Lepisosteus oculatus: one gene and its partner. The protein of the gene in region 2 purifies or fractionates together with the protein of the main gene of each other region. This does not show direct contact. Links are inferred from orthologs where the notes say so. Each region holds a gene or a part of one and is shown on either strand. Other genes may lie near its edges.

Evidence for each region.
Region 1: the proteins of psmb2 (region 2) and psme3 fractionate together in Homo sapiens (co-fractionation; 3 studies listed by BioGRID and IntAct, with this or other methods). This does not show direct contact. The link is inferred for Lepisosteus oculatus from reciprocal best matches to the Homo sapiens genes PSMB2 and PSME3.

The regions. Positions count from the first base shown.
Region 1 is NC_090723.1:3,612,744-3,616,494, reverse strand, and holds the start of psme3 (proteasome activator complex subunit 3), read right to left. Parts: upstream 2,369-3,751; 5' UTR 2,327-2,368; coding exon 2,285-2,326; intron 1,412-2,284; coding exon 1,379-1,411; intron 1,276-1,378; coding exon 1,213-1,275; intron 1-1,212. UniProt on the Homo sapiens protein: Subunit of the 11S REG-gamma (also called PA28-gamma) proteasome regulator, a doughnut-shaped homoheptamer which associates with the proteasome. 11S REG-gamma activates the trypsin-like catalytic subunit of the proteasome but inhibits the chymotrypsin-like and postglutamyl-preferring (PGPH) subunits.
Region 2 is NC_090706.1:198,231-201,981, reverse strand, and holds the start of psmb2 (proteasome subunit beta type-2), read right to left. Parts: upstream 2,831-3,751; 5' UTR 2,679-2,830; coding exon 2,588-2,678; intron 1,701-2,587; coding exon 1,578-1,700; intron 859-1,577; coding exon 788-858; intron 1-787. UniProt on the Homo sapiens protein: Non-catalytic component of the 20S core proteasome complex involved in the proteolytic degradation of most intracellular proteins. This complex plays numerous essential roles within the cell by associating with different regulatory particles.

The DNA of each region.
Region 1 (3,751 bases), on a different chromosome or scaffold from region 2:
ACACATGTGAACGTCAGCAGCAAAAGGTTCTGCCTTGAAACCGGACCACAGCCTTCATCTGAAGAGTCCTGTCAAACCACCAGCCTTGGAGACACGTAACTTTATCCTTTCCTTTAACATCCAAGGAGTGATGATTAGTCCTTGAGCTCAGAGACCTCAGCTTGTTTTAAGACCTCATTAGGCTTTAACTGTTCCTTCGTCAAAACAGAAAACACAAGTCCTTTCCCCCCAAGCATATCTGCTTTTTAACATTTTTCGTTAGTTCCCTTCTTGAGGAAATAACCACAAGGCAACAGAGAAACATTTCTCTCTCCCGTTCGGCTGAGCAAGGGGTAAAGCTCTATTCGCTCACCATATGACAGTCACACAGCATTGGTCACGTACTCGGCAGTGATCGTTCAAACCAAGCACCAGACCTTAAATCTCTTCAGTAACTCCAGAAAATGTGAGGCTCCACGTTACTGAACTCAATTCTAGCTTGATTCACACATTGATTCCAGCACTGCTGTGGTGCCCAAGACGTAAGGCTGCTAACTTAGAAATGTTAATTAACTTCACCCAGTACAATTCATGGTTCTGGGAGTGCGGTGACCTTTTTAAGCCTCTCTCGGACGTAGATATCTGGCTACACGGAGGGGGCTTACACCCTCTCCAGAACTTCGATCTGCACGAAGGTGGTTATTTTTCTCCTCTGCGGTATTATTGCCATCCCATCAGCTCTCCGACCCAAAGGTCTGGCTAGGGTGTAGTAAGCGTTGATTTCAGCACAATGAACAGCAAGTCGTGTAGGTGAACCAGCAGGGGGCAATCTTCTGTTGAAGACAGAATTACTAATTGAAGAGCCCCACTATGGGGACAGGGAATACCGTGCTGTACAATGATTTCAGATGAGATTGAACTAATGTCCTGATTATTTGGTTGTTAAAAGATCCCTTGAAACAGTTTTTCCAGAATTGGTATGTTAAGCAAGCATCTTGACTAAATCCCATTCTGGGCTTGCATGATCCAGCATGGCTAAACGTCTGGAGTAATTCTCACCACAACTGATTGGTGATTTGCTTTTCAAAGGTGAATAAAGTGCTCTGGGAACCACTAACAAGGAAAGTGCAGTTTAAACGCAATTCGTCTTCTTCCAGGTCTCCTCAGCTGTGGATAGGAGCTCTTACACAACGAAAACCGCGCAAACATAACGGTAAAAATCGAAAGACTTACCTTAAGAAAATGATCGAGTTCCAGTAACTTCTTTGGAAAGAAATTTGCGACTAAGTCTTCTGCCTAGAAAAGTAAACATTGGGAAATGCGAGCTCTAAGTACAGTACAACTTAGTTTTTTATTTACGTTAAAAGAATCGTTTTAATTTGAAAGCAAAAGTACTTACTTCACCGGTGATTCGTTCTCTGAAAGCATCAACCTGTAGAAAGAGTAAACGTAAATCGGGGTCCACAACTAGACTGTCAAAGACTGAAACGTTACCCGTCTGTGTAGAACATTGCCAAGGCTGTGCATTTAATACAGTAACGTAAGATTACGCTTGAAACAGAATACAGCACAAATGCAATAACACGTGAACATGATGCTGGCCAATATATCTACTGGGTGCAAGATTTTTCATTCGTTTTCGCTGTCTGTAGCTTCATCGGGACTGTCTCCTGAACCGAATTGTTTTGTCACTCAGTTTTTATATAAATATATGAGCACATGCGCCGTGCGACTCTGAAGATATAGATTTCGAATAAGATAAACACCCAAGATATCCGGCTCCAAGGAAGTAGCTGTTGAAGGGACAGCAAAAATGTTTACGATCGTTTTTATTCTTTGACACAGCTCTTGGGATTGGACCCGGACATTCACTCAAAACAATAAACAGGACACGTGTCAAAAAACACGAATTCCAAACGCAGGCCAAATCGCACTGAATTTATTGTGCATTACAGGCGCTACGATCATACTATTATTTCACATTATGGAAAAGACTCAACCACAAACGCCTTAATTTCGACAGCAGCAGACACGCACCTCCGGCCAGAATGAAAGAAGGGGCAATACTATTGGAAATATCGGAATATACGGAAATATCCTGTTTTAACTTCAGATAATTCCATATAAATCGACATACGCAGAGCAATTATGACTATATCTGTGAAGCACAGCGCGGGAAAGCCAGGCGATTATGCTAGGCACTTATTTAATACCCCGGCCTTGTGTTACAGAAAAATTTCCGACTGTTCAAATTTCAACACCACATCCCCCTCGCGTCAGTCTTTCTCGGATTACCGTCTCTTACCTTAGTTTTGATTTCATTGTCCACTTTGAGGAGAGAAGACATTCTATTTTCAGACAAATAGGGAAGGGAATCTGAGATCGTATTAACAGAAATAACCGTGTGGCTCCTTTCAGCTCCTATTCACAGCCACAAGGTATCAAAGGGAGAGAACGAGAAATGACGTAGAAAAGCCGCGACGACAATGAGAGGCGAGGAAAATCACCCAACCACGTGGAAGTAGCGTGAAGCTGGCTACACTAAGCGACACGAATGACCCGGAAGTGTATGTCAATAGCCGAATTTCAATCAAAATAAAAGACTTTCAGCTACCACAGCAGCTTTTGAGGAGTAAAGCAACATTAAGCGAAGTGACAAGCAGCTGAAACACCTGCTTTATTTCGTCATGGTTAATTTGAGAGAGTCCTTTTTTAAATTTTAAATCGCCTCCACTTATCTCCAAGTTTGACAAATCTAAGATTATTAGAAGTTTGTATTAATTTTACAGCCCCTTTCTACTACTGTAATATACTGCTATATTTTTTTTTCATAAAAATGTTTCTGTTCAATGAAAAAGGTTTTAAGATGCAAGCTTTTAAAGGAGTTGTATCTGAAATTTGTAATTAAATAAAATCCTTTATTATATTTAAATTCAATCATTTTTTTAAACTATAACCAGGGACAAAAACATTTTGTGCACAATCAAAAGTGGTGAAACATACAATGTTAAGACAGTCAGTCAATAGCAAATCACCCTTCTTCATTCCGTTTTAAGTTTTTATTAATATTGTTGGTCTGGGTGGATCACCTCTAGAAAAACTGCAGTGCAGAATTGGATGGGGAAAATTTGTGCCTCTCCAAAGGTGGATGCAATCTATTGCACAGACCCTCAGCTGATAGAAAATCACCTTGTTTTTGTCAGACAAGTGTCTCTGTCAAAACTGCTGGGGTCTGTAGAGCACCTCCCATCCCCAGACTGAGACCGTGCACTGATGGACAGGGAGCGGTCTCACCCACCTCCCGACCAAACACAAATTTGTGCCTCTTCAAAAATACCTCATATCTATTCTACAGACCCTCAGCTTATAGAAAATCGCCATGGTCTTGTCAGATAAGTGTCTTTGCTAAAGTTGCTGGGGTTTATAAGACCGTAAAGTACGGGCCTTGTGTAGAATCACGTGATCCGCAGAGCACCATATTACCAGCAGTTGGTTATCATTCTCTTGTCTTTATTTATTTATGCATAAACAATAACAACAAATACAATACAAACAAGCGTACATATAACATTTTACGACAAAAACATCGTCAGGGGGTACATATTACAAAATAAATTCAAATTATGAAAAACGTTTAATCTTTCTCTTATGTCCATCCAGGGTTAGAATCACAGGTATCTGTGTAATCTGCATTGTCATGAAACATTTGAAAGAAACTATAATTAGCATCTGCAAATACAAATATAACTGATTTACAGAATATGACATGTAT
Region 2 (3,751 bases):
CTAGATACAAATTCTACACTTTCAGCTAAAGTTTATGTTTCTTCCCCACAGTGTCTTGAAGATGCAAAAGATCTGTAAACAAACACACAGGTCTTCTCCATTAGGTACCTTTGTGTAGCTCAGAGATTCCCCTTCTGATATTTATTCTCCTACCTGCTACTTGCATGCAACACACTGCACATGCTTACATTAAATGCAACCTGTCTGGTGTTGCTGCCTGTCCAGAATTTTTCAGGAAGTCTTTCTGAATTTAGTTGGCCAAGTATAAACATAGTGGTTGCTAATCCTGTTATCTGCAGGTAACCTATAAACTACTAACTAATCCATTATCTAGACATAGTTACATAAATTAAAAATCGCAGTGTTCCAAATACAGATCCCTGTAGTATTCACTGATCCCATATTTGCAATTTTCTACAGCTGAAAGCCCTGAACAGCTCAACGCTGGCAAAGCACTACTGACTCTTACACAGCTGTGTACCTAAGACTTAGACAATGTACATTTCTCTCCATTTTTTTAGTAAGAACTTTACTTAAAAATACAATTCTAAGTTGACCTCCAACATTTTAGTGATTTTAAGATGACAGTTAACCCATAAATATCAGTGTTTTGCAGTACAAGACTCATTCTCTTGACTAGATGGATCTGCAGAAGGAAGCAGATGCATGGTGTCACTTGTGAGGAACAATGGACGACAAGTCAACTGGATCTGACTGGTTAATGTGATGCACCAGCTACCACAACACATCACGGCCAGCAGACACAGGGCCCCCCGCAGAAACTGACCCGGCTCCGCAGGTAATCCGCCAGGTTCTTCCGGGTGAAGTTTGCTGCAGCTGCCGGACTGAGCTCATAACCTGGGACAGAGAGACGGAAGGAATCAACACTCAGTTACGATCAAAGCAATTACTTGCCCTAAGATCTGGTGCACTCAATTTGTATGCACATGGAACATGACCACTGCACTGTGACAAGGTGCTGCAGTGGATTCTAATACAATCCATCATCATTATCTGGGGTCCCAGGAAGAAAGTATCAACATGTTTTTTAAAAACACAGGGTCACACCAAAGCTTTTACAGAAGCCTGCTTTTGCACAAATAATATAATCTATAACTGCATGTTTTATAACTGGTTTTGGGCTTTGTGTATATAGTTTTTAGCATTTAGTTTGCCAACTACAAAATGTTAGAAATAACATGTGGAGTATTTAAACACACAAACAGACTACATATTTAAAGTAGAAACTGAGCTGTACAGTACATCTCACTGCTTCTGGTGCAATGCAAAGTACAAATAATTTCATTTGGTACAATACCTGCTGAACAAGCAATAAATATGGTTCGTAAATATTGTACGATATACTTTTTACAGATTGGACCATAACCTCTAGACAGTGCAGGAAGCAGATTATATGTCAAAGGGAGAGGGGCTGCACTTGTAGAAGTGCTCGGCGATGAAACAGTCTATCACAGCCACGGAACACTGTTCTGTATTGATGTGGCTATGAGACGACACTGAAGGCTGGGGGGGTAAGAGAGGAGGCTGCAGTCCTGCAGACAGGGGGCGTGTCTCACCATTTCTCATCTTGTACAGCTGCACATTCTTCTGGATGTACTCAGCAAACTGCACCGTGTCGCCCGCCTCGCCCACACACAGCAGCAGGATCTTCTCACTCAGCTTGAACATTTTGTCGTAGTCTGGAGGAGAACACACAGACGTCAGTCTTGCAGCCTTTACATGTATAAATACATCCCCATGTTGCCATGAGGCGTGTCATCCACTCAGGGAGATATTCCCCTCCACCTGTCTGCGCGGGGCTGGACTGTCTCCATGTGTCGGGGTGCTCAGCAGCGCCCCTCTCCGCTGAGCCCTGTATTCACCCACCACTCTGCGTATTCTTCCGTGTCCAGAACCTCCAGCTAACTCTCTCAAAGTCCAGAAACTGTTTCGCGGGAAAAAAAATAAATTACAGGTAGACCCAGACGTACAGCCTGCCCGCCAGAAACACGCATACAGCCACGCGTGGTCTTACTACAGCTGCTCCTTCATCTTTCAGGAGCAGGGAGAGTCGCTGTGGAAGCGATCTGTCCGCTTTCACTTCGCTGCTGAGTGACGCCTCGCGGGCAGGCACCCAGCTGCACCGCTACCCTGCCGGCCCTGTCCTGCTCAGCAACAGGAGACGTGTTCAGTTTGTCTCTGCCTTGTGCGGAACCCGCCGCGCCATTTAACACAAACGTATCCTGGACCCCCCGAATCTACTGCCGCTGTTCCGAGTCCAGAAGGCGGTTCAGGGACTCCAGGAAAGCCAGAGACACCACATCGTGACGGGACTGTAGATTAGAGACTAGTTGCAGTGAACCCGAAACTGAAGCACGAACAGTAAAGCACAAACAGATTTATTTTGTATCTAGAGACTCACAACTTCAAAAGCTTATTTGAAAGCTGAGTACGAGAACCCACTCATCTAAAAGCACCTCAGTTTTGGTTTAGCCCAAAACTGACGGCAGAACTGAGGGGACGTCGCAGACCTCTGAGAGACAGACCCGCAGAAACCCGAAATCGCCGGCACACGGGCCGCCCTCACCGTGTTTCATCTGAATGATGCTGCTGGCCGCCACGGTGTCAGCGGCCACCAGGACGAAATCGGGTCCTTGGATTCCGATCAGATATTCCATGCTGATACCTCAGGCTCCGCTTTCTGTCCGTAAACAACCCTCGGTATTTAACAATTTCTCTCTTCCCGGCGTCTGTCAGAACCGGCCTAACTCTATTATTACACAGCAAATATAGACCCCAGCGCGATGTAATGCGTCATTGGCATGCGACCCGAGTTTCGCCTTCAAACACGTGATCTAAAACAGCCAATGAACAGAGTAGCTGTTTTCAGCGCTGTTGCCCTATGAGCGTCTGTGACGGGAGAGCAGCTGTATGAAAGACGTAATGTTGGGAAATGTGGGAGAATAATGCTCAGTATTGTTGTTTCCCCCTATCAAAGGCTAAGTAACGACTTAAAATTTTTTTGGCTGTGACTGGTTAGACTTTGACGCAGTCAGGACCATTCTAGTGTAAAGGAACAAATAGGTTTATTCCCTGCTGAAAAGAGAAGAAAGAAAATACAACGTTTCGGCTGTGGAGCCTTCTTCTCGTGTCAGGTCACATAGCTCACACCTGAAGAAACGTTGTGTTTTCTTTCTTCTCTTTTCAGCAGGGAATAAACCTATTACAGGTTGAGAATCCCTTATCCGAAATTCCTGGGACCGAACGTGTTGCGGATTTCGGATTTCGGAATATTGTTATATTTGCATCTATAAAATGGGACAGCTTGGGGATGGGACCCAAGTCTAAACAAGATATCCATTTACATTTCATAGTGTAGCTTATACATATACCCTGAATGTAGTTTAATATAAATTTGTAATGATTTTTTAAACATTATACCATCAGAAAGGTAAGATATCAGTCTCCACCTATGATGTTGTTTTGATTAAAAGGTTACAGTACATGTATGCCATTTGTATTTTATTTTTTACTATACAGTTATTAAGTTTTATGTAAGGTATAAAAACAAAGCATTGAATTACAGGTAAATAAAATGAAAACTGAAAAAAGTCAGCATTTTATTTTTTAAAGTAATGTACAAGTAATGACGCTAGTCAAGTTACACTCATACATGGAGGTGAAATTCAGATCTCACGTAAAAATAACGTTTTGTACTTGCTGTACAAAAAAACTAAACAAAACATGATGA